Rhinolophus ferrumequinum: one gene and its partner. The protein of the gene in region 2 interacts with the protein of the main gene of each other region in a biochemical or structural test. Links are inferred from orthologs where the notes say so. Each region holds a gene or a part of one and is shown on either strand. Other genes may lie near its edges. The genes, in order: MITF and PIAS3.

What was found.
Region 1: the proteins of PIAS3 (region 2) and MITF form a complex in vitro, tested with the Homo sapiens proteins (2 studies listed by BioGRID). The link is inferred for Rhinolophus ferrumequinum from reciprocal best matches to the Homo sapiens genes PIAS3 and MITF.

What each region holds. Positions count from the first base shown.
Region 1 is NC_046300.1:63,428,740-63,440,742, forward strand, and holds the start of MITF (microphthalmia-associated transcription factor), read left to right. Parts: upstream 1-7,452; 5' UTR 7,453-7,624; coding exon 7,625-7,728; intron 7,729-12,003. UniProt on the Homo sapiens protein: Transcription factor that acts as a master regulator of melanocyte survival and differentiation as well as melanosome biogenesis.
Region 2 is NC_046305.1:50,104,678-50,116,395, forward strand, and holds the start of PIAS3 (E3 SUMO-protein ligase PIAS3), read right to left. Parts: upstream 4,939-11,718; 5' UTR 4,924-4,938; coding exon 4,894-4,923; intron 4,617-4,893; coding exon 4,199-4,616; intron 4,048-4,198; coding exon 3,963-4,047; intron 3,732-3,962; coding exon 3,681-3,731; intron 3,430-3,680; coding exon 3,339-3,429; intron 2,858-3,338; coding exon 2,723-2,857; intron 2,510-2,722; coding exon 2,404-2,509; intron 1,845-2,403; coding exon 1,771-1,844; intron 1,650-1,770; coding exon 1,489-1,649; intron 803-1,488; coding exon 669-802; intron 589-668; coding exon 420-588; intron 257-419; coding exon 123-256; intron 1-122. Other genes in the region: ANKRD35 (ankyrin repeat domain-containing protein 35), read right to left, coding at 11,532-11,594. UniProt on the Homo sapiens protein: Functions as an E3-type small ubiquitin-like modifier (SUMO) ligase, stabilizing the interaction between UBE2I and the substrate, and as a SUMO-tethering factor.

The DNA of each region.
Region 1 (12,003 bases), on a different chromosome or scaffold from region 2:
TCACTGTTAGAGAGCCTGGTTTTTATTCTGTAACAAGGGGGATCCTAAAAGGGTTTAAAATAGGGAAAAGAGAAGATGAGACTTGTGTTCCAGAAAGATCCCTCTTGGCAAAATATTTATGCTTTTTGGTCTAACAATTCAATTTGTAGGCAACTATTGTGGATGGGAGCAAAGATTTAGTTGTTAGGATAGTAGTGAAATTATTTTTACCTATAATAGTGAAAAATTGAAAACAACCTAAAGGCCCAACAATACAGAGATTAGAAAAGTAAATTTTAATAAATTTATATAATGGAAATATTTTAGAAACATTAAAATAAAGTGGTAGACAAGGAAAGCTACTCGTGATACGTGAAAGGGAAAAGTAGGAGACACTTGTGTATTCAGTATGACCTCTTTTTGAACATCTCTCTCCCCCACCCCCTTGCTCTATAAAAAGTATATAATATATATATATATATATAGGATAGAGCCCTATATATATTATATACATTATATACACTTTATATATATAGGTATATGTGTACATATATATACACATATATATACATATATATATATATATAAAATGTACAATGACATATACTGAGGTATGAATATCTCTGTAGTGGTATTATGGGCCTTTTTCTTTTACTTATCTGCAGTTTCTAATGTTCAAATAATAAATATTATTACTTTTCCAATAAGAAGATAAATCTATTTTAAATATTTTGTATAAAAGCCAGCAACCTCACTTTGGTGGCTGTTAGAGGAAGGCAGAGAGGAGAAATGCCCACTTTGGAGTGTATATTCCTTCTCTTTTCTTTATTATCTCCTGGAATGTCTTGTGTTCTCCTTCTTATTCCAATTCCTGTGGCCTCAGACATCCTGGAACAAGAATGTAAAGCATGACTTCACTGACGGCTCTGCATTGGGATTGGAGTCCGAGTCCACACCAAGGTCAGACCGCTCTTCCTCCAAGGTCAGACCACTCTTCCTCCATTGCCTTGGTGACTGTGAGCTGACAATCACCTGCTGCCATTGGCCTGGGGGTTCCTGAGCTACAAAGGCACTACTTTGCTTTGAGTGTTTCCTTGACCAAACTTTAGTCGGTCTACTCTGAATTCTCTTCCCAATTAGGCCTTGACTTTTGGACTTCCGTTTGCATGGACCAATTCTGAACAGAAATCCCATCAAGTCGTGTTAGCCAACACCTCTCACTCTCAATAGCTGATCACCTTCCTCATCACCCGGCAGCCTCACATCCCCCGCTGATTCCCCTCCTTTGCCTCCAGTGAGAATCCTGTTCATTCAGTTTAGAAAAGAATTCTACGACACTTTCAGTAATTTTCTACCCTCTGACCACCTTCCAGCCCTGCCCCCATTCTGCTTCTGCCTATAAATCCTCCTCCGCTCCTTGTATTTGGGGTTAAGCCAATCTCCTCCACTTCAAAGCCCCCTCACAGCCGTTCCTGACTTACTGCAATAGTCTTCCTGAATAAAGTTGGCCTAACTGTTCTTTAACAAGTGTCAGAATAATTTTTTTCTTTAACAGCTTTTAACCAGGTGAAACCATCTCCCAAACCACTGTTCAGTTCTTAGCCCTGGTGACTCTTCAATTGCCCCATTGCAATCAGCTCTTTCTGAAACCTGTCAGACCTTCATTCCCAAAGTCATGGAAATCACACTCCAGATGTCATCCAGCCTTTCCTAATCCATTCATGTTCAGATCCATGCCTCACAAATTTTGCATTGGATTATTTATTAATCATCCTCTTTTTAGCTTTCTTCTAGCCTCGTTTTGGTACCCTTCTTTTGTTGTGCTTTCTTTCTGCCTGGCTTGATCACCCCTTAAAGTAGTGGTTCTAAAATTTCCACATGCCTAAGAACTCACTGGGGAGCTTGCTTAGAAAGCAGATTGTCAGTTGTCACCCCTTTGAGATTCTGATTTAGCAGTTCTTGTTCAGGGCTTGGAAATCGGCACTTTAATTGGCACCCCAAATAATTATGATACACGTGGTTAATGGACGATACTTTGAGAAGGGCGCTCCACTTTCGTCTCCTGGTCCACACAGCATAGCACTACGCCCTCTCCCCTCACCTCCCTTCATTGGCTCTAGACAGCTGCATGGTACAGCATTTGTAAGAACGATATATTTGGAAGACCAGGACGCACAGACTCCTGGAGGAAACATGGATAATCCAGAGTGGTCCGTGGCACCCCTGAAGTTGCAAATAACACTTTGAGTATGCTCTTTTTTCTAGTAAGAAAGTCCACAACTTTCATCAGATTCTCAAGGAAATCCACTAACCAAAAAGTTAAAAAATCTACAAAGCCATAAGCAGATGTATGCCTTGAAAATTAACTACTTTCCCACTTGACATATGCCATGCCTGAACTTTGTGTGGCTTAGATTGGTTTCTTGGGGCGGGCCATGTCTGGGCACCACCTTGGCACATGCAGGAAACGTGCGTTGGGAGGACTGTGCAGAAAGCTGGCCTGCTGACAACCTCCTTCCCTTAACAGTTTTCTGTTATTGACATTGTTCTCCCTCTGGGCTTGTCTCATCTTTTTAAAGTAACAAAATAGTTTCATTACCATTCAATCCTGTGCTTATTAAAATACACTTCAAATAAGAGAAACAGAAGTTGAATTAGATTATGTTTGAAAAGGAGGTGGGGTGGGGAAGCTTTATGCGTTTTTGTACACATAACTGAATTTACTGCTGTCAGGGAGACTGCAAAATAGGTTCATTTTATATTTGAAAAATATTAAGTCTCTAAAGTAGGGATGGTTGGGTAGCTAGAATTTGGACACAAAACCTAGATCTGCCAATCAAGTCCAGCCTTGAACTCGGACTGAATGATAAATAGGTGAAGTAATTGGAAGTAATTGGAATAAATAGGTGAAGTAATTGGAACTCTGTCTGATCCATTCTGGTGGCAGGTGGTTGTGGCTACATCCAGTTCCCAGCATTTCGACAACATCCCATGTCCTGTCAGGTTAAGGGGGTAATTTGTGATGTTTAGTGACACAGTGGTGGCCCTGGTGGGGGCCTTCACTAGCCCAGGTCCATGGCATAGATTTTGGAGTGGTTCCTAGTTGCACAGTGTCTGTGCCAGATTCTGCTGCTGTTCCTGAGGCTTTGTGAGCTACTCAATACACTTTCAATGAATTCCTTTCTGCTTAAATCAACTATGGTCAGTTTCTGTTGCCTCTTTCCTCAAACACACCACATGCAATCCTGCGTCCATAACTTCTCATGTCCATTTTCTCTTTTTGAATCACATGCCTTTTTATCTAATTTTATCATAAAGTATACCCCATTTTAAAAAACATTATGACAGTTTATTTTCTCACTTTTTTAAGTTTAATTATTTTATCATGGAAATTTTCAAATATACACAAAAATAGAGAGAGAAGTAAACTTCCATGACACATTACCCAGTTTCAACATTTTACTCTAACAACAGATAAGAGCTTTAAAAAAACAAGATGAGCAGAATATCAGTATCATACTTAATAAAATAAACAATAATTCTTTAATATCATCCAATTCCAGTTCATGTTCACACACTCCCAGTTTTCTCCAAAATGAATTTTGACAATTGGTTTGTTCAAATTAAGCTCTAGACAAAGTCTACATAATGTATTTGAGTGATATCCCTTTTTCCCAGTTCATTTTCTTAATAGTGATATAATTTACATGTCTAATATGTCTCTTAAATCTTTAAAAATCTATAACAGTTCCTCTTTCCCCTTTATTTCATGCTACTTATTTTTTGAAGAATTTCTCAATGTCTTGTAGAATTTCTCAATTTCTGGGTTTGTCTGATTGCATCCTTGTGGTATTATTAACATGTTCTTCTCTCATTTTTTCCCTGTAAATTGGTGGTTAGATCTAGCAGCTTGATTAGATTCAATTTTTATGTTTTATACCCTAGATTTTTTCCTTGTTTTTTTTTTTTTCTTTTTTAGATCTAGGTTAGTCACATCTCCTCTGAGAATTCTTCACTTCATCTCCATCCCTGCCCTCAGGTGTTGCTGCTTTCTCAGATACTTGTTGCACCTACCTGTCTATCACTCTATTCATTCATTAAATCATTTTCATTCCTATTTCTGAAAGGGCTGGGACTACGCCCTGAGTACAGGGCCCATACATGGCTCATCCCTGCTATTTCCCCATATCTAGCACGTAATGTGGCTGGCACCGACTAGATGTTTCATAAATAGTTGTTGAGCTAAATGGATAAGACAGTACTAATCCTACACAAATGATCTGCTTCTTAGCACTTAATGTGTGGTTTCTCATTGTGGTACAAGCTTTGACTTAACTCCTGCACTGTGAGTCTCTTGAGAGCAGGAAGAAAGTAAAATTCATTCATGTATTTGGGCAACCTAACTCAATGCCATATCCATAACTAGTGCATGTTCTATACATATTAGAATGGAAACCCTTGCTCTCTATTCTTGCTGGATTTCTATGAGCTCAAATAAGAGGTACATATGACAAGCATTTGCAAAAAGTAAAGTATTAGAAAAATATAGGTCAGATTATTAGTGACAGTAATTACAATCTCTAGCCATTACTTTTGTACTTTCAATAGGCACAGTCCTTGTTTCAAATATATGGGGCTGTGAACTTTAAATCACCTTTTTAAAGAAGAGGTAACTACTCCTACTGTTTACTTCATTAACGAAGAGAAATTACAAGGGACAACTCGTTATTATGTGGATTAGTGTTATGGCAGTCCACAGAAAATGTTCCACCTAAAGGAATGAAAAGTCTTTAGGATGATTACTCAATGCTCTTGTGGTTGCAAGTGACAAAAGCATAAACCAAAATATTAATAGTTGCAGCAAAAAGAAAAAAAATTTGGTTTATAAATTTGGGAAATCTAAGGATATCTGCTTCTCTGATTGTTGATCTGATCTCATTCTCTCACTTTTTTTTTTTTATCAGCTTCCTAGGATGCCATAAGTAATTAGCTCTAAGTTTTCTTCCCTCCAGCCCCATGCTTCCCAAATCAGACGGTCTTCTCCAGTTGCCCTAGCAGAAAAGTTCAAAGGAGGACTTCTAGTCATGTTAGGATGCTGTCTGTCTCAAAAGAAATCACTGTGGCTAAGAAAACGGGGCCCACTGATTGGTCAGGATTAGGTCATATACCTACTTCCATTGGGTAGCAGATGGCACTGCAATCAATATCCTGGCCATATGTAATGGAAGAGAAGTTTTTCTGAACCAAGAGTAGAGTGAGACCAGAAGAAAAGGTGTAGGGAGAAAAAATAGCAGGTATCTGTGCGTACTTCAGAGCAACCTCAGCTCAGAGCTCTGCATCTTAGGGATCTCTCTGGAAGGTGCCCTTGGTTGGAGGTAAGTTCAGGGATCTTAGCTTTTTTGACAGTTTTTTCCCTTTAAGTTTGGTCCCTTCGGTCTAGCGGGTCACTGATATAATGAATGACCTACTAGATTGTTTCACTATGGTTCTAAAGAGGTTATAAACTGCGTTTCTAAGATGAAGGCCTTCAAAGGATGAACAGACCAAAATTATAAATAGAATCTTATTTACATTTATATTTTCTGGGGAGAAGGTCCATAGCTTTTCCTTTGATTAAAAAGCTTCTGGTGAACCAAAAGATTAAGAAGACTCCAGTGTTTCTCAACAGGTGCCATTGATTTCTGGACAAGAAAGTTTGTTACTTTACAAAATGTATAGCATCTCTGGTCCACACCCTTTAAATTTCCTGTAATATCCCCAACTCATTATGAAAATCAACCACGTTTTAAGAACCAAAAGCTGAGAATCAAGATGAGAGTAGAAGTCTAGGTCGAAAGTTCTCTTTGTGTTTTACCTTTCTCTTATTTCTGGCAGAGAATAACACTTCTTTAAACTTTTAACATCTAATTTCTAGCTTTCCATCTATCAAGGGATCTGGGATCCCACATTCATGAGCACAAAAAGCCCACTTTCCTCAGGACTGTCCAGATATTTTGCCATATTTTAATGGAATAGTGAAGGACCTAAAGGTAGTATTTTGGGGAGTAAATTTTATTGTGGGATTTTGGCAGTTGTGTACCTCCTGCACATTTCCCCAAATCTCTTTGTGGAGATCCTTAACTCTAAAATCAACCCATCCTACTTAAGATCTTTTCTATGTGAAATTACAATGTTTCATATTGAGGCAAAATGGCCAGCTCCTGGCAGACGCCTACCCAGTAGCCTCCTTAGTTTTCTCCTAGGATGATCACTTCGTTCATGAAGTCTGAAGGACAAACTCACAGATGAAATGTTAGTCTGAAAGGAGTATCTTCAAGATCTAATAAATAAAAGGATGACCACTGAGCAGCAATGTTTATAGATCACAAATCACTTTCTCTTGCATTTGACCATGCAACATCTTCGAAAACAAGCTCGTCAATCACTTCTTTTATAGATGAAGAAATTGAGGCTTCTAAGAATCAAGTGACATGCCCCAAATTGCACAGCACTTTAGAGAAGGACTCAGGATTTCAACTCTGGATCTTAACACTTTCAACGCCACCCTCTAACTCACTACCGCCTCCCTGATGCCTCAAGACACGTTTAAAAGAAGGAGTCCATCCTACTGGAACTAATCAGAGGGTGGACTGACAGCAAAAACAAGCGCTTACAGAGCCCGGCGCTTACAGAGTGCCGGGAAGCTCAGGCTGGGGGCTGACACTTGTACAGTTTTTTGCTCCACAGCTTCACCCCTGAAATGTTAGGACAATCTCGTTTGAACTCCCAGCCAACTGAGAAATTAAAAACAGACGGTGACTACGTTGTTTTGTTACTTGGTGCCTTTTTAAATTAACGGAGCCTTTCAAGAGCTGCTTTAGATTAGAAGTGGCTAATTGGATAAAGGGAAAGAGACATTCAGCTGGATGAATGGTATTGTAAAGCTCAGACTGAATTATAGAAAAGGAACGCCCAAGAACACTTTCCACAATAATATTTCAATTACTAAGTGTTCCTCCACTCTGTTCCAATCAGAGGACACGATGATGTGTCGCAGCAGTGCTGGGAAGCAAGCGGGCTGATAGGAAGTCCTTTTATTTTAAGGCAGGCATAAAGGCTAAAACTTTCTAAAGCCAAAACTATCCACTTTTTTTTTTTTTTAAATAATAAGGACTCGGCGTCTCCTCTCAAACGTCTGAGCTGGGAGGAGGGGTGACGGTAGGAGAGAGAGGCTGAGTCCGTTCTTATTACTATTAAATAGCCAAGTCTGTACCCTTGAGGCAAGTGGGGAGATAGAAGGGAGAGGAGCTGCTGACATTGACAATGAATCCAAACAGGAGTTGCACTAGCGGTGTCCACCACGCTGCCTCTGTCCCCGCCTGGCCTTCTGGGAGTTGTAGTTTTCGCGGGAAGGGCTCCCCCAGCGAGCCGGGAATGCCCCGTCCGGGCCGAACTACAGATCCCAGGCAGCGCCCGGCCGCCGGCCCCTCCCGCCCGGTGCGAGTGTAAACTCCCCGCGCCGGGCGGGCGGCCGCGCGCGGGCCAGCGGGCTGAGCTGGGCACTGTGTGGGGGCGCACGCTCGCAGGACCCAGGCCCCGCCACCTTCTGTCCGCTCGCGGGCTCAGTTCTCCCTTTCGAGCAGTGGAAGGACGGGAAGCGGGAGCCATGCAGTCAGAATCGGGGATCGTGCCGGATTTCGAAGTCGGGGAGGAGTTTCACGAAGAGCCCAAAACCTATTACGAACTCAAAAGTCAACCCCTGAAGAGCAGGTGAGTGGTGACAGCTGGAGGAAGGCGCGGCTGGAGGCTGGGGGTGCCCCGCGCCTCCCGCCCTGGGGCGAGAAGAGCCAATCGCCCGGGCTCTGGGACAAGGACCTCGTGCCCTTGCCCCGGGGCAGAGGGCGAACTGCCCCCCGCAGTTGGGGTCTGCGCCCGTCAGGCCGGTGCACCTCTGGGGGCCTCTGCCCAAGCGCACTTCGGGGGCTCAGCGGGCAGTCCGGGTGGCCGGCTCAGGCGTGGGGACCCTCGGCTGGGGATGCCAGCTGCTGAGACCGGGTGGGGGCTGGGGAGCGACCCGGCGTGGAGGTGGGGGAGGAGGCGCGGGGCCCGGCGGATGGCCGGCTGCGAAGGGGGAAAAGAGTTTCTAGTGAATCCTTCTACTGAAGATCCCAGCGGGCTGATCCGAGAGGGAGAGCTTGGGGTAGAGCGAGGCGCGACGTTGGAGGGAAGCAATTAGCTCGTTTGTTGTCGCCTCTTAGGAATCTGGCCCCTCTGGGAAAACCCGCCCCTGGCCGCCTCCAGGTGAGGTTTCGCTGAGCTCTGCCTCTCACCTTCCTGACGGCGGCCAGGGAGTGGGGCGGGGCCGGGGGCCGTGGGTGGGCGTGTCTCCGCGTCCAGGTTCAACTCAGTGGGCAGTAGAGTCCCATTCAAATCCAAGCGTATGCTGGAGGGGAGAAAGCTTTGGGACTGGAAGGCATTGGCAGTGTCCCTTCCACGGCAGCGATTTAATTAGCAAGGGACGTAAACTTTTTAGGAGAGGAGTGAAGACACCCGCTGGTCTGGCGCCCTGCCACCTCCGCTGCCCACTCCCTGTTCTACCTCCATTACCACTTCTCTGGCGGAATGGGTTGGGTGTCTTCCTTTCTCGGTCCTCGGGCCACTCCGAACATTTCCAGTGTTTACTAAGAGGGAGATGGCCATTTCAAGCTGTGAGAGTAGAGAGGGTTTATTTCCATCCCTCTCGGTTGTGAGATAAGGCTATTTAACTGGAAGGTTCAGAAGTGGTTCTGCACCCACCTCAAACCTCTCTGCCTGCCCCTCACTGTGGGTAGGGCTTGGGTTAATGGGCCCGGCGGACAGAGGGGATGAAGGGCCAGAAATCAGGGTGAGTGGAGAAGGGGAACCAAATCAGGAGGGCGGGGGTGTAATCTTTGCTTCTGGGGTGAGGAGGCTGGTACTTGGCTCTAGTAGAAAGCAGAGCTCTGTCTTTTAGGGCTGTGTCCTTTGGGGCTGTGTCAAAACTCCGAGCCCAAGTTGAGGAAGAAAATCTGAACAGCACACTCACTGACTGACCCGTTGCTGAAGCAGCCTCTGCAGATGCTAAGGGAGATTGGAAGGAAACCTCCTCTGCAGTTAGACGAATAAAACCCGCCTTTAGTTGGTGGTTTCTCTTCATAATGGCTGTTTTGTGTGTGAGCATAGATTGTGTGTGTTGGGGGTTGAGGGTTTTGAGTAATATTGTGCAAAGGGTATTGTTGGTTATGCTCACTGGGGCTTTATCTGCACTCAGCTGAAGGGACCAGTGTTTTACTGAACAACCTCTGCTTTTGCTTCTATAAGCAAATGCTTACATGGCCAGAATGAGGGAGTGTGTGTGTGTGTGTGTGTGTGTGTGTGTGTGGTCCTGAAAGGAATGAATTCACTGGACTGTTGGGGACATTTTTGATGGTAGCTGATACATAACATTAAATGAGTTTTGAAAGTGAGGAAAATACCATCTGGAAGAACCCTCATGAGTGCCATGAAACTCATGTTGAAGGATTTGGGCCTGTTCTTTTTCAGAGTTGGCAAAAAATTACTTGCAAGGGTGAACGTCCTCTGTAGCTAGCTGGCACGTGTAAGGAAAAGTGTGGTACCTGGGAAGAAATGGCTTCACACACGCTGAAGCTAGAAACAGGTGTGGGACAAAACCAGGATGAAGAGGAAGGCTAAATTGAAAAGGTTGGAAAACTGGAGCAGACACATGCTCTTTGAAATAAAGCAGTTAAACAAAATCTGGGAATAAATATGTGGGGTTGACAGAATTTCTCCATAGTGTTTTCCATAGTTGCCTAATGTATTGTCATCGACATGTGTTGTGTGTCTTTAAAAGGGCTACACATTGTTCAGAACCTTCTATGGCTTTTTGTCTTGAGTCTTTGATGGGGCACCTCCCTTCTTATACATCTTTGTTGGAAAAAGTTGAAATTGGAAGTTTAAGACGCTGTAGCTGTTTCGTCTATCGGTTGTATTTTCAGGATTGTCTCTTGGGGTTGGAAATATGTCGAATCTGCCCACTTCTCACCAACTCACTCCTCTGCGACCGCTTTGGTCCAGGCCACCATCACCCTCGCCTGGGTCATTGCAGTTGTCTCTTAACTGGTCTCCTGTCTTCTACCCTTACGCGCTTTAGTGGGTTTTCAACATACAGCCACAAGGTTCCTGTTAAAACCGGTTCTCAACCTGGGGCTGATTTTGCCTCCCAGGGTTCATTTGGCAATGTCTGGAGACATTTTTGGTTGTCACAACAGAAGGGGCTCGCTACTGGCCTCTGAGAAGTAGAGGCCTGAGATACTGTTAAACATCCTACAGTGCGCAGGATGGCCCCTACAAGGAAGAATTATCTGGCCGCAAATTGTCACCACCGAGGTTGAGAAACCTTGTGTTAAAACCTATCGCGTCACGTCATTCTCTACTCAAAAACCTGCAGTGGCTCCTAGTTTCAGTAAAACTTGAAATCCTTGAAATGGCAGAAGGCAACCAAGGTCCCTGTCAGCTCTGAGTGGATCTCTTGCTGCCACCCTCCTGGCTCGCCTGCTGCAGCCCACTGGTCTGCTTGCTGTTCCTGGAACGCTCCAGAGCCTCCCCCCTCAGGCCCTCTTAGGTTGTGTGTGCTGGTCCCGCTGCCTGGACAGTCACAGTGCTCACTCCTCCCTCCCCTCCCCCAGCCTCAAGTTGTCCTTTAAATGTCCTTCCTGCCAAGCCCACCTTGTCCACACTATTTATAATTGCTAATCTCCAAACTCGCATCTGCCTTGCCCTGCTCTTTTTTCCATAGTACTTGTGTTGTGACCATTCTGTAATTTTCTAATATGTTCATTACATGTTTCTCCACACTAGACTGCCGGCTCTGAGGGACCGGGGATTTCTGTCTCTTCATTGTTGACTGTTGGGTCCTAGAATAGCATTTCTCAACCTTGCGCTATTGACATTATGACCTGGGTAATTCTTGGTTGTGGGACTGTCCTGAGCATGGCAGGATGTTCAGCAGCATATCTGGCCTCTGCCTGCTAGAGGTCAGTTGCATCCTTTCCCCAGTTGTGACATCCAAAAATGTCTGCAGACATTGCCAAATGTCCATGGGGGCAGAATCACCCCTGTTTCAGAACCATGGCTCTAGAACAATGCCTGGCACAAAAATGGTTTGTTGTTTGAACATGTGTTGCTTTCTCCCTTAGCACCTCATTCAGGATGATTGTTTGGTTTTTGTTTTTGCCGTCATCATTGCATTCCTCTGAAAGCAGGTAACTAACCGCCAGGGTCTCTCCAAACAGGAATTGACATAGTCTTCATCTGGAGTAAACTGAGATCTGAAGCGTTTTGGGAGGAAGGATGGTTTCATTCCTAACCCTCCTGGGCTGACCTCCTGGCCTTTGAAATGTGAGGTTACTGGACTGAGAAGACCTGAACCCCATTTTGGTCCTGTTGACTGGCAAAGCTGTGTCGCAGGAGGACACATGCTACGAGACAAGGTTCTAATATAGAATTATTTGCAGTTTGGTTCCTCTAGCAAGGTTTTTGAATTCTTTGTGGTGGAAATGGTGGGGTGATAGAGGAAAAGTGCTGAATATCAAGGGTGAACCCAGAATTCACACGTAGGCACAGTCAGGTCTGTGAAACAAATGTGGAACTGTTGAATGAGCTCCCGGCAGTGAAGGAACTCTCTGTAGGTCTTTGTGATCAAAGTAAACATTTAAAAATAAGGTAGCTTCTTTCAGGTTCATGGTCCTTTTGTTTGGTGTACCATTTCTGTGGGCTTTGTAGTTGCTAATTCCTTTTCCTGGACAGACTTAGAATTGGCTTACTTTAATTTCATTTCTTTTCTTCTCAAAATTTTAGTGATGTTTTAGACAACTGTTATTTAACTTACTGCAAATGAGAAATGGAAATTAAAAGGAGTTTTTGGTTTACAATGGCAGGACAGGATATAGCGATAATTCTCCAATGCTGATTCAGAGAGAGGTGTGTGAAGTTTTCCCAGGATTTGGTGAAATGAGAAAGACAAAA
Region 2 (11,718 bases):
AAGTTCATGGATTGTGGCCCTTTGCAAAGACAGCCAGAAGGCTTGAAGAGGAGCAGGGGTTCCGATCTGGTTCTGGGGAGGATGCGGCAGTGTGGGGCCCCGCCCTGTGATCAGTGTCCTACCTTGGATGTCGGCCCCCAGTGGGAAGGCAGGTGGGTACTCGTGTAGGGGCAGACTGGACAGGAAGTCCCCGCCCAGCGTGCCCATAGCAGGGCTCCGTAGCACCGAAGATGGCTGGTGACCAGATGTCAGTACTCTGAGGAGAGAGGAGGAGCTGGGGTAGCCAGTGACCCGCAGATGCCCTGACCCAGCTCAGCCTCCCACATGCCCTCTCCACCCCAGGGTTGGCACACTGGCCAGAAAGCTTCGCACTTCTTCCTTGGTCCCTTCTGCTATAGACTCAGCCTGCTTCCTCATACCCTTTGCTTCCAGGTAGGGCCGGGATGGCAGCTGAAGTGACAGGGCAGTGCTTCTTGGTCGGGGGCAGGTCCTCCTCGTCTGACGAGCTTTCTATTGTCAAGTCGATAACTTCAACCTTCTTCTTATTCTCTGACGGATTGCCCTCTTGGACTGGGCTGTACTGGAGGCCTGTGGGTGGTAAGAAGACTGTGTCTCAGAGAAGAGGCCACCCCAGACTTAGCTGTGCTGGGGGACAGGGGGTCACTCACCATCCAGCCCATACCCTGGCGGGGGGCAAACCTCAGATGCCTCCTTCTTGGGTTTCATTGGGCACCAGGAGCCATCTTCCATGAACTGGATCTCATCACAATCCGAACAGGAATTAAGAATCTCCATGAATAAACTGGGGGGTTGGGGGGAGAAAAGGGAATTCATGGGCTGGGAGATGGCTGGGACAGTCCCCAGGGAATTCTGGGACTCCCTTTCCTGAACCTCAGCTTGCTCATCTATAAAACGTGGGTATTACCTACCCTACTGACCTCTTTGAGTTGTTATTCGAATCAAACAAAGCATGTAAAAGAGCTTTGCAAACTTTAAATGCTAAGCTTTAAAACAAACACATTTTCAGCACCTATTTTGTGTAGTACTAGTTTCAAGACAAAGGGAAGAAGGATGCCGAACTCCATAAACCATCTGAAAAAGGGCACTGGGCACAAGAACCATAGTGTGGGCTCGGGAAGGGGGTCGGAACTAGCTCGATCAGCACACGCTTCAGAAGCACTTGCCTGCTACGCTCAGGGAGAGCTCGGCAGGCGAACATTGTAACAGTGTGGTCCACTGGCTGTGCCACTTAACAACAGAACTGAGCAAAAGACTCAATCTCTCTAGGGCTGTTTCTTCACCTGTCACGCCAGTACCCGTCATGGGGTTATTAGGAGGATTCAGGGAGAGAAGGCCTGCAAAGTGCTCAGCACCACGTTTAGCGTACAGTAAGTCCTCACGGCTGGAAATCCCCAGTAACAGGCATAGATGTGGGGGAGGGGCCCGTGGCCGCCCTCGGTGAGAACCCGGAATGCAGAATGGCCCTACCCATCAATGATAAGAGATTCGTAAGGAGCCTTCTTGTCGCACACAGGACATGTCCACGTTGGCTTCTTCTCATTCATCTGTAGATAAAGGGCAGCATCGAAGCTCTGCAGGTGGGCACAGGTGAGGGCACGACAAGGGACCGTCAGGCGCATCTTCCCCAGCTGAGGAGAAAAAGTTCTCTGGTCAGAGTCCCCACACCTCCTCTAAGAGCCCAGGAACCATCCTCTGAGTCCGGAGGCTTAACCCAACCCTCCTCCCGCTTCTCTTCTCTCTTGTACCCACCGGACACATGAGTGACACCCGGAGACTTGTAGTGGCCACCTCACTGTCTGGGTCAGCGGTCAGTTTCTCCTTGACTGAAACAAGAGTGAGGCCAGAGCCATGGGGTCAGCAAGGCTAGTGAGGGAGCCAGGAAGGAGGCAAGGCCAGAAGCAGATGGCTCTGGCTGACAGACAGCTGGGGAGAGGCTTTGGAGGCCAGTGGGATGTCACATGGACTTATGAAGGCTGGGTGGAGGACAGAGATTTCATCATCCCTGAAGATGCTTAAATACAGCTGGGTGACACTTTGGCAGACATGACCTAGGGGGAATTGAAGCACCACGAGACAGTTAGATTGGACGATCCTTAAGATTCTTCCCAGTCTGGAGAAGCCATATTCCAGGGGGGCCAGAGTTAGGGTGTGGGAGGTGCAAAGCAGATGGATAACTGGGAATACAAGAGTGTCACTCAGCACGTGGGAGTGGTCTGACTTCACAACCACGAAATTGGTAAGGGAGATAAGGGGAGGCGTGGGCTTAAGGTGAGAGGTGAGATACATTGTCCTAAGAGGGGTATGGGTTTGATTGTCAAGGATGGAGGGCCAGGGAGACTTGGATCCAGATGAGAGAGGGGAAGGGAGCGGGACGCTACTCACTCAGTGCCCGGGAGTGGTCTGGGTTCCGGATGCCCTTTGCCCTGAGTTTTTGTAGAAGGGTCCCTGCAGTCAACTGCCTCACCAGGTACACAGACAAGGAGTAATTCTACTTGGAGGTGGGGGAGAGAATTAGCTTCTGCTCTGTGGGGGAGACAATTAGCTTCTACCACCCCCCTACCCTTTGTCCCATGAGGACCAGAGACAGCGGGTTAAGGCAAAGAGCCCCATAAAGAGGAAGATGCTTCCCGAACCCAGGACACTGGGGGATTCCCATCACTCCCTGCAGGCTTCTCAGCCTCTCTGCCTCAGCCATGCTCACCCGTCCAAACTCTGATGACCAGTTGACCACGATGGTGTTGGGAACAGTGGCCGAGAGTCGAGCCAGGGGGGTGATGTTGACGGGGCGGCTGGGCCGCTTGGGCTCAGCCCCGTTCTTGGTCGGGGGAAGGTAACCCTGGGGAAGGGAGGGCCTGGTCAAGACATCTTGTCTCGGGTTCCTCACTTCCCGGAGGGAAGACTAGCTCAGTCAATTTTGTGACTCACAAAAGTGGGGCACTATCGAAGGGTTGTGGGTGGGGTTCATTCCTGGGGGAAAAGGAGTTTCTTCATTGACCAAGGAAACAGGAACCCACTCACTGAGTTCCGGAGGAGGAAAAATAGGGCCGCCCCATTTCGTCCGACTCTCAGCTCTGGGTGTCATCGCTTCTGAAGAACCTTTGGGTGGAACTAACACCCCTCCTCTGAGTTCTGACAAAACCCTTGTTCAGCGCTATCTTAATACTTTCTAGATCATAGTGATTCGGTCAGTAAACTGAGCACCTACTATGTGCCAGGCACTGTACTAGGCATGTCTCTTTCACAACAAGTTTGTAGTTAATATTTAGGAACTGAAACAGGGAAGGGGTTACTGCCAGAAGAAGGAAAAGAGCATTTACCGGCAGGGGGCACAGTTTCCCATTGACCTTGACAAAGAGGTTGGGGGGAAAATAATCCTCCTGGGGGCAGCTGGTCTCACAGAGACAGAACCTGGGAAGAGATGAGAGAAGATGAAAGGGCAAGAGGCAGTTTCTTGAGCAGAATCTGGCAGAGAGGAAGGGAACCTCAGAAAATCAGTGGTAGGTATCCGTAGGCCGCAGCACCCAAAAGAGACCCAGGGCCAGTGGACACAGCAGAGTGGGGACATCTCCTAGGAGTACCTGTCATGCCCTTATTTCATTCCCACCCCCAACGGGAGCCTGGCAGGGAGGAAGGGAGGGAGGGAGGGAGGGTCCACTCACCTGAGCTGCACCTGTATGGTATAATCGCATTTGGCTCCTGGCAGAACCTCTCTGTAATAGAGAGGGAGAGGTGTCAGTATGCAGCCCTTGGAGGGCAGAGGTGAACAGAGACACAGAACTTAGATATGCAGAGGATAGTGAAGAGATGAGACATACAAGAGAACGAGCAGCAAAGCGAGTGCAGAAGGACGGACAGGGAGGAGAGCAGGGCAGAGAGAAGAGAGAGCAGGGGCCAGGGATAACCGCCCGAGGATGAGGCAGAAGGACTGAAGGATGATTCACCTGGATGTGAGAATCTGCTGCACTTGCTGGGGAGTGAGGGCAAAGGTAAAGTGCGCTTCCTCAAACCGCTGGCTAGAGTTGGATGCTGAGGACACAAAGGGCAGTTACTCCCAAGCCTGTGCACAGGCAGCCGCAGAAGTCGCCCCATCCCAGGCTGCTGATCCCACAAGAATAAAGCCTACGAGAGGCTTGGAGACATGGAGTCGGGAAGGCTGAGGGACCACAAAGAGCCATACCGAGGGTGGTGGGCCGGATGAGCTCCCCATAGACTTCATAGAAGGGCAATGGCTTCATGGTGACATCAGGGTGCACAGGCTGGGGCAGAGGGGGGTGCACGTCCACTTCACGCTTGGGGCCCAGCAGCGTGCCAGGGGCCAAGAGGGCTGGGGGGATGGGAGCTAGAGGACCAGGGGAGCCTACAGGAGGGGTGCCAGGGGGCAGAGAGAGCAGGGAGAGATCTGAGGGCCCCAGGGTCTTCCGGGGGAAGCGGCGGCGGTAAAGCTCTTTGATCTTCATTTGGACGCTGGGGGCGCAGCTGGACTTGAGGAGGTGTAGGGCCTTAGCCAGGAGCTCGTGCTTCCGTCCACTCTTGTTCCGGCCAGCAAAGCCGAGGAGCACCTGGAGCTCAGACACCCGGAAACTCATCACCATGTGCTGTGGGCAACAGAGAAGCTTGAGAATCCTATCTTCCATGGGCCTGTCCTGCCGAGGAGCCTGGGGCAGAGCTACCAGGGAGGTCAATGCCTCTTTCCCTCCAGCACTGATCATAAAGATGCTTTGCTGCCAGTGAATTACTGTCAGACACCCAACCTGGCCAAAGGGACATCTCAGTCCCATTGTAGCAACCCTCAGTCAACCTCACCACCGCCCCCACCCCCACCGCCCCCCCCAGAGCTTGAGCAACCCTATCTCCCTTTGCCTGGAAGCTGACCTGGTGGGGGCACGAGAGACAGCAAGCCATCCTCAGGCACACCTGAGTCCACTACAGGCTCCTAACCTCCATCCCCGCCTCAAACCTGGACGCTCCTTTAAGCTGCTTATCTCCTCTCCTGCTCTTTCTCAGACCTTCAGATCCATCCCAGCCTCTTGGGAAGAGGATAGGACACGGGGAGAAGGAGGGGGAGAAGAGGTTTTAGGCCAGACGCCCCACGGAGAAGAAGGGGGCCAGGTGGCTGGAGGACTGTGTCCCCCGCCCACCTCTCCAGACACTTCAGTCCACCTCAGCTATATTCCCCAAGCCAGGGTTTTCAGGTCAGGGTTCAATGCTCACAACTCCCCCAAATCCTTTCTCAGTGTATTTACTTAACCACCCCTCCCTCAGTCCTATTTTTCTGGGAGGGAAACAAGACCAAACCTTGGGGCGACGTGGCTAACGGTGAATCCCCAAGTCCAGGTATCCTGCCTGTTTACTCCATCTGTCAGGAGCAAATATCCTGCTAGTCTCCTTCATAGAGAAAAATGAGTGATTGCCCCCACCTCCCCACCTCCATAGAGGAAGAGGAGAGGGCATGACTCTAAATAGAGGCCCTGGGAGACTGAGGAGAAGGCAGGTGGCCCCGGAGAGGAATCACAAGCTCTCCCAAAGGCAGCTGGGCCCAGTGACTAGACCTCAGGCCTGCCCAGGGCTATGGCTCCATTTCAAAGGGCAGAACAAAGCCGGGAGGCAAGGGGATGAACCCAAAGGGTTTTTAAGGTTCTGTGAGATGGCCTCGGACATGGTTACTCTCAAGACTGCATGGCAGTGGGAGAACCCAAGAAGCTCTCTCCTTAAAGGACTCCCTTCTGTGAATCTTGAGGAGTGTGATGAAAAAAACTTGCTCCTATACCTTTTTGCCCATCCTTATTTCCTCTGTCCTGTGCTTATGTCCCCATTAGCTTTGACAAGAACTCCCCCCTTTCTATCCCATAGTTTCAGCCTCCTCTGTCTCTGCCCAAAGGTACCAAACTCAGTGAGGCTCCAGGACCTGCCTCCCGGGCTCCAGGATGCTTCTGCCCCACCCCTCCATCTAGCGCCTGCACAGCCCCGCCCCCTAGATCAGCCGCCCACTGGTACTTCCCAAGGCTGGGATCCCAAAAGCAGCCCCAAAGCCTCTACCTCTCAGCTGCATTTCCCAGAGGAGCCTCGAGTACGCCTGACCCCCAGTCCCACCCCTACATCTGCCCCTACTGTCGCATCTCTTGGCTTTGATCAACCTGCCCCCTGTGCCTCTACAGCAGCTTCTCCCCCTGACCCTACCCCTACATCTGCCCCCACCACCAAATCCCACTCCTACCCCGCGTCCCCGCCCCCTGCGCATCGGCCCCCAACAGCTGCAATTCCCCTCGGCCCCACCCCTCCATCTGCCCCTCGGCCCCGCCCCCGGAGCTCCGCCGCAGCCCCTTCCTCGCCACAGCCACTTCTCTCCCATCCCCAGCAGCCAGTTCCCGCCACGTCTCCAGCCCCCACCCGAGCCGTCAGCACCCAGTCTCGGTCGCTCCCCCGACTCGGCGGACCGCCGGGCTCAGTCCAGATGGGGATGGGGGAGGGGGCCGGTACCTTTAATTCGCCCAGCTCCGCCATCTTGAGACATCGCAGGCGCCCGAGCCCGAGCCCGAGCTCAGGCCCAGGGACCGGCGCACAACTCTCCACCCCGGCGCCGGCCGCAAATGCCGCCTGCTCCGCCCCGTCCGGCCCCTACACCTCCCCTTCCCGGCCCCGCCCGCCTGGCTCCGGACAAGCCCCAGCCTCAGCCCCTCCCACCACTCCGGACCCAGCCCCGGCACGTCTTTGGCCGGGATGCGAAACGGGTGGACACCGAGGGAGTGTACAGCCCGATCGCGGGGTTCCGGGGGGTAAAGGAGAGGAGGCGGGACAGAGGTGCCTGGGGGAGGAGGTTTTGCCACGCCGGAGTTAGGAGGGAATGAGCTTTTAGGAAACCAGCGTCTTGAAATACCGAGGGAAAGTATCGAGAACTGCTAAAACTTACAGAAATGGGGGATGGGGGAGCGAAGTTCCAAAATACCCTCCTCTTCCTCTTTACAAGTTTAAGCCGCTAAAATCATGAGTTCTGCCAACTCGGGAAATGGGTGAGATCCGACCCATTTGAGGGAAGCAATGGAGTCGTGAATAGCTCATTTCACGACGGCTATTCTCAATCCTTCAAACCTCCCCCACACACACCGCCCGCCAACCACCACCACCAACTACAATGTGGCTGGAGGTCCGGCCGCAGGACTCAGACTTGGCAGCAGAAAAGTTTGGTGCGAGAGCGTGACTTACCAGCTCGGTAGCGGGGAGCGGGGAGGGCGCTCAGAGGGTGGGCTGGGGAGGTGGGGGAGGGGGCCCGGCGCGGCTCCCGCAGGCTGCACGGCTGGAGGTCGGTCAGGCAGCTGGACGCTGCAGCCGCAGCTCCGCCCGAGCGGGAGCTCCGCCCGGCCCAGCGCTCCGGCTGGGGCCGCCCCCTCCCGGGTAAGCCGGCCTGGACTGCCGGCTGGCGGGGAGGGGGCGGAGTCTGAGGCGGGAGAGGGAGGGACTCGGAGTCAGGCTCCGGAGACTTTAACTCCTCGGAGTCAGCCGGCGGGGAGAGTGGACGTTCTCGGAGCTCAGCTTTTTCACCACCGCTCTGACCCCTTGCTCTGGTGTGCGGGCTTGAGGTGGAGGCATGCTGGAAATGAGACGGCCTGGACCAGGGATCTGACCGCATAAAGAGGTTCTGGGCTGCTAGAATCCAAAGTGTACCTGAACCCTAACTCTACCTGTGGTCTCCCACGCCCTACCCCAAATACACGGGCAGACACCAGAGACCCCACACCTTTGGTGTAGCTGAAGGTGAACAGAGGGGAGGTTTTCTTGCCCAAATATGGCATTTTTCTGCCCCTTTCTCAACTACTTCCCTTCTTCCAAAGCCTTGGACCTTCCAGAGGCCCCATCCTCTGCCAAGCTAATCCCTTACATGCACGTCTCCTGAAAGCACCAACTTCAGGGCAGTTTACCCAAACGAGTTACTCACAACAAACATAGCATTTTATAGTTGTTAGCTGGGACCTAAATGCTAATGTGTTTGTTCAATAAATAGTTGAATGCTGTTCAGACATTGTTAGGTGCTTGGGATATAAAAGCCTTGCAGGAGTTCTCAGTCTAGCAGCAGTGACAAGACACTTAATCAGCATACTATAATCAGCATACAAAAAGAGTGCTTTAGTAAATAATAATAATTCTCTCATCTAGTTTAAACCTTCAGTGTAATCCTCCCCCATGAGACCCCACCCAAGCCTTAGGCCTGAAGGTGCCAGCCTACCAATATCCCATGTACCTTCTAAACTGCACTATGCCCAACTACTTAGTGGATTTTTGTCCTTAGGGAAGATGTCCTCTTTCACCTGACACTCAGGTTCTTTCCTTGCTGCTTTGCTGCGAGCAATGGTGGGACCTCAAGCTAATCTGAATCTCAAGTATTTGGTCCCTAATCCCAACCATTGTCTCCAACACTTGAGTCTTCATCAGGCCCTGAGCTCATTGTTTTTCCTATTCATTCCTGTAGATCAAAAGTTATTATGAGCAGTTGTCTGCTCTATCTAGACTCTGCCCCTGGTGGCTTCTCTGTCGGCGCTTTTCTTCTTCAACAAACTTTCTAACTTCAAAAAAAAAAAAAAAAGTGACTATGGACTATTTTGTATCTTCTAGAATTTTCAGTGATTTCGAGGGAAGGAGGATAGAGAGGATTTAAAAAGAGAGAGAGACGACGGAACTCTTTGGGAATGATGGATGTTCATGATCTTTATGGTGAGATGGTTTCATGGGTATATACACATGTCAGAACTTAAACTGTACACTGTAAGTTCATACAGTTTATTGTATGTCAATTATACCTCATTAAAGCTGTAAAAATATAAAAGAAAGTCAACCTCAGCTTGGTTCCTAGTGATTTCATAAAGGAGGCATCTCCGTTAATAGTTCATTTGAGTTCTAAGTTCGGCATCCCTACAAGATGCTCGAAAACTAGGAACCCTGCAGGGCACCTGAATCTGATCCTGCGTGCAAGCAAGCTCCATGAGGACAAGAACCTTCTCGGTGCTGTCCACTCTCTATCCCCAGGGCCTGGCACGTAGTAGACTCTTTAAATATCAGTGTAATAAATTAATGTTACCAGACAAAGGAGGGAATCTGCAAATCAGGACCAAGTTCCAGATTGAGGACATTCAAAGACAGAATCTGAACCCCATCATGGCCCACCAAGCTTTACCCATAAACCCCTACATCTGAAGGCTGGGGAGCGACGGGAAAGTGAAACAGGAGTAGTAAACCGCTACCAAAGTCCCATGAAACGGACAGCCCAGGAGGGATGGGGGGACATTAGGACTACGGTTACTTTGGGAGAGACTTATTTATGAAATCAAGGAGAATTTCAGGGCTTGGGTTGTTGGGGTCACAGTTTATGGGGTTGTATAGATGGAGATTGTTTGGGAAGACCAAAGGCTGGGGAAGCTTCCACTCCTGCGTTAATCTTAACATCACTGACCATTCCCACAGCTCAGCCATCCTGGGATCAGCTTCCAGGAGTCTGGAGGGAGCCCGAGGCCTGGCTGCCATTACCAAAGCTATTTCCTGACTCATACTTGAACTTAGCCAAATGATCTCCCCCCGTCTCTGGACCCTTCTCTTGGCAGTTTCTGCATTCTTCCCACCCTATACTCCATGTAAGAAGGAATGTAACAGTCAGGCCTTTTATATTTTCTGGTAACTCTAAGAGCAGGAAAGAAAAGAGAGGTTCATTCCTCTTAATAGAAATGACTAGGACCTTTTTGAGGCTCTTCTGGCAGTTGTACCCCTTCTCCCTTTCTCCATCAATCCCTGTGTCTCTATTCTCCCAGCCTTAAAGCAGTCCTGTACCCATCCACACACACCCCAAAGCTGACTCTCATCTTCTCCTAGGACCTCATTCACACAACTGCTCTTTTCTGGCCAAACCCTGGAGCCAGACTCTGCAGCCCTGGTGTGGCCCCCTGTCTTCCACGACAACCTCTCCCCACTCTTCTCTCAACCCACTTCAGTCTCTGTACTGCCAAACCACGGCTGGCTGACCCAGCTTAACCCAGCAGGGGGCGGGCTAAGAGAAGAAATGGGGAGGGATCAAAGTGTGGGCCACCAAACCAAAACTCCAGATGTTGGAGGACTTCACTGCTTCTTTCTCACCTAAAGGTCTAGTTGTTGGACGCACAGAAAGGGGAGGAGACCCATGGGAAGAAACCAAGAGAGATAGATTTTTTCAGTCTGAGAACAGAACTGGAGGGAAGAAGCCACCTCTGAATGTCCGTTCATCCCCTTCCAGACTAGAACACTGAGCACATGAGACCACGTGCTTCAAAACACACGGTTTAACACATGACAGAATCTTTCAGATTGTACACCTCAACATCCAGGTCTCTCAATCTCTCCTCCTTAAAAAAAATAGTGGACTCGGGAATCCCAAGGTAGAAAAAAAAAATGAGTAGAACTGTGTCAGTTGGTAAGAGACAGATTTGAGAAAGAGAAAGGAAGAGTGTCCATACCCATTTTCACAGAGGGCTGTTTTTCAAAGTCTTGACCCATTATTGGATGTGTTTTGACCAATATTTTTCAGTGGAGCATCATAGCAGAGAATAGACTAGAACAGAAATAGTAAGGGTACATACTATTTCAAGTGTGTACACACAGGACACACAATGTACTTCTCACTATGGATCATAATCAAAGGTTGAAAGCTGCTGACTTATGGGGCCATTTGTGATTCTCCCCCCACACCCCTTTAAACAGAAAAAAAATGAAGACAACCCAGTACCACACTGCCTCCTGTTTTATTTTCCATAGAGCTGGCTTCCATCCATACCTCTTCTGGTCACAGCCATGCTGATTCCAGATCCCAGAGTTCAGGTTCTCAGGTCTGGGGTCCAGGATGTCAGGTGAAGCCCCACCCACACCCTCCCTCGTGACCAAACCCTCACCCACTACAGCCTTATGGGGAGCCTCTGGCAACCAGGATGCTCTTCCTCCCTGAAAGAAGAAATTCAAGGATGAAATGCACACACTTCCATAGCCTCAGTCTCCTCCCACCCATGCCAAGATGCTAAAGGGGACCCTCATCTATCTGGCCTGGAAAAGATGGCCACCAGCATACGGGTGGGGAGGAAAATGGGGGATGACTACTCTTTGAATAAATGGTGGGGGAGTGAAGGAGATTCTGGAATTTGTAGCGCTGCACCCCAGGAAACGACATTGTACCACTATCACACCATCACTCATGGTTCACGGGTATCTCTCTACCCCAGACTTTAGAAGAGTCACTCAGCAACTCTTTTCAGTCTCCATCCCATGTCAGGCCCCACCCTCTACCTGCTCACCAATGCCTGACTCCACCCAGTGATTCCCCATATGTGGCTTCTCAATAACCTCACTTCAAATGCTCTATGCTGCATAGGGGTCCCCAAAAGGAGACTCCAATTCTCATCCTTATGCCTCCTTTCCCAAGTCCTTTCGCCAAGCTGCTTCCTTCGTCACCCTCAACCCACGACTCACAAGGGAGCAGTCCCAGACCCCTGAGGGCCCAGGCTGCGTCACTCCTTCTGCTTGCTGAGAATTCGTAGCAGGATGTTGTATACATCTTGTTCCATGTAGCCCTGTAGGCGGCAGAAAAGAAAGAAAAGGAGATGAACAGAAAATGGGCAGAGATACGGTGGAATGCTGTTTGTTAAGTATTAACAAAGAACTTAACTTCTCCATGGCCGTTCCCTAATCTTTTCA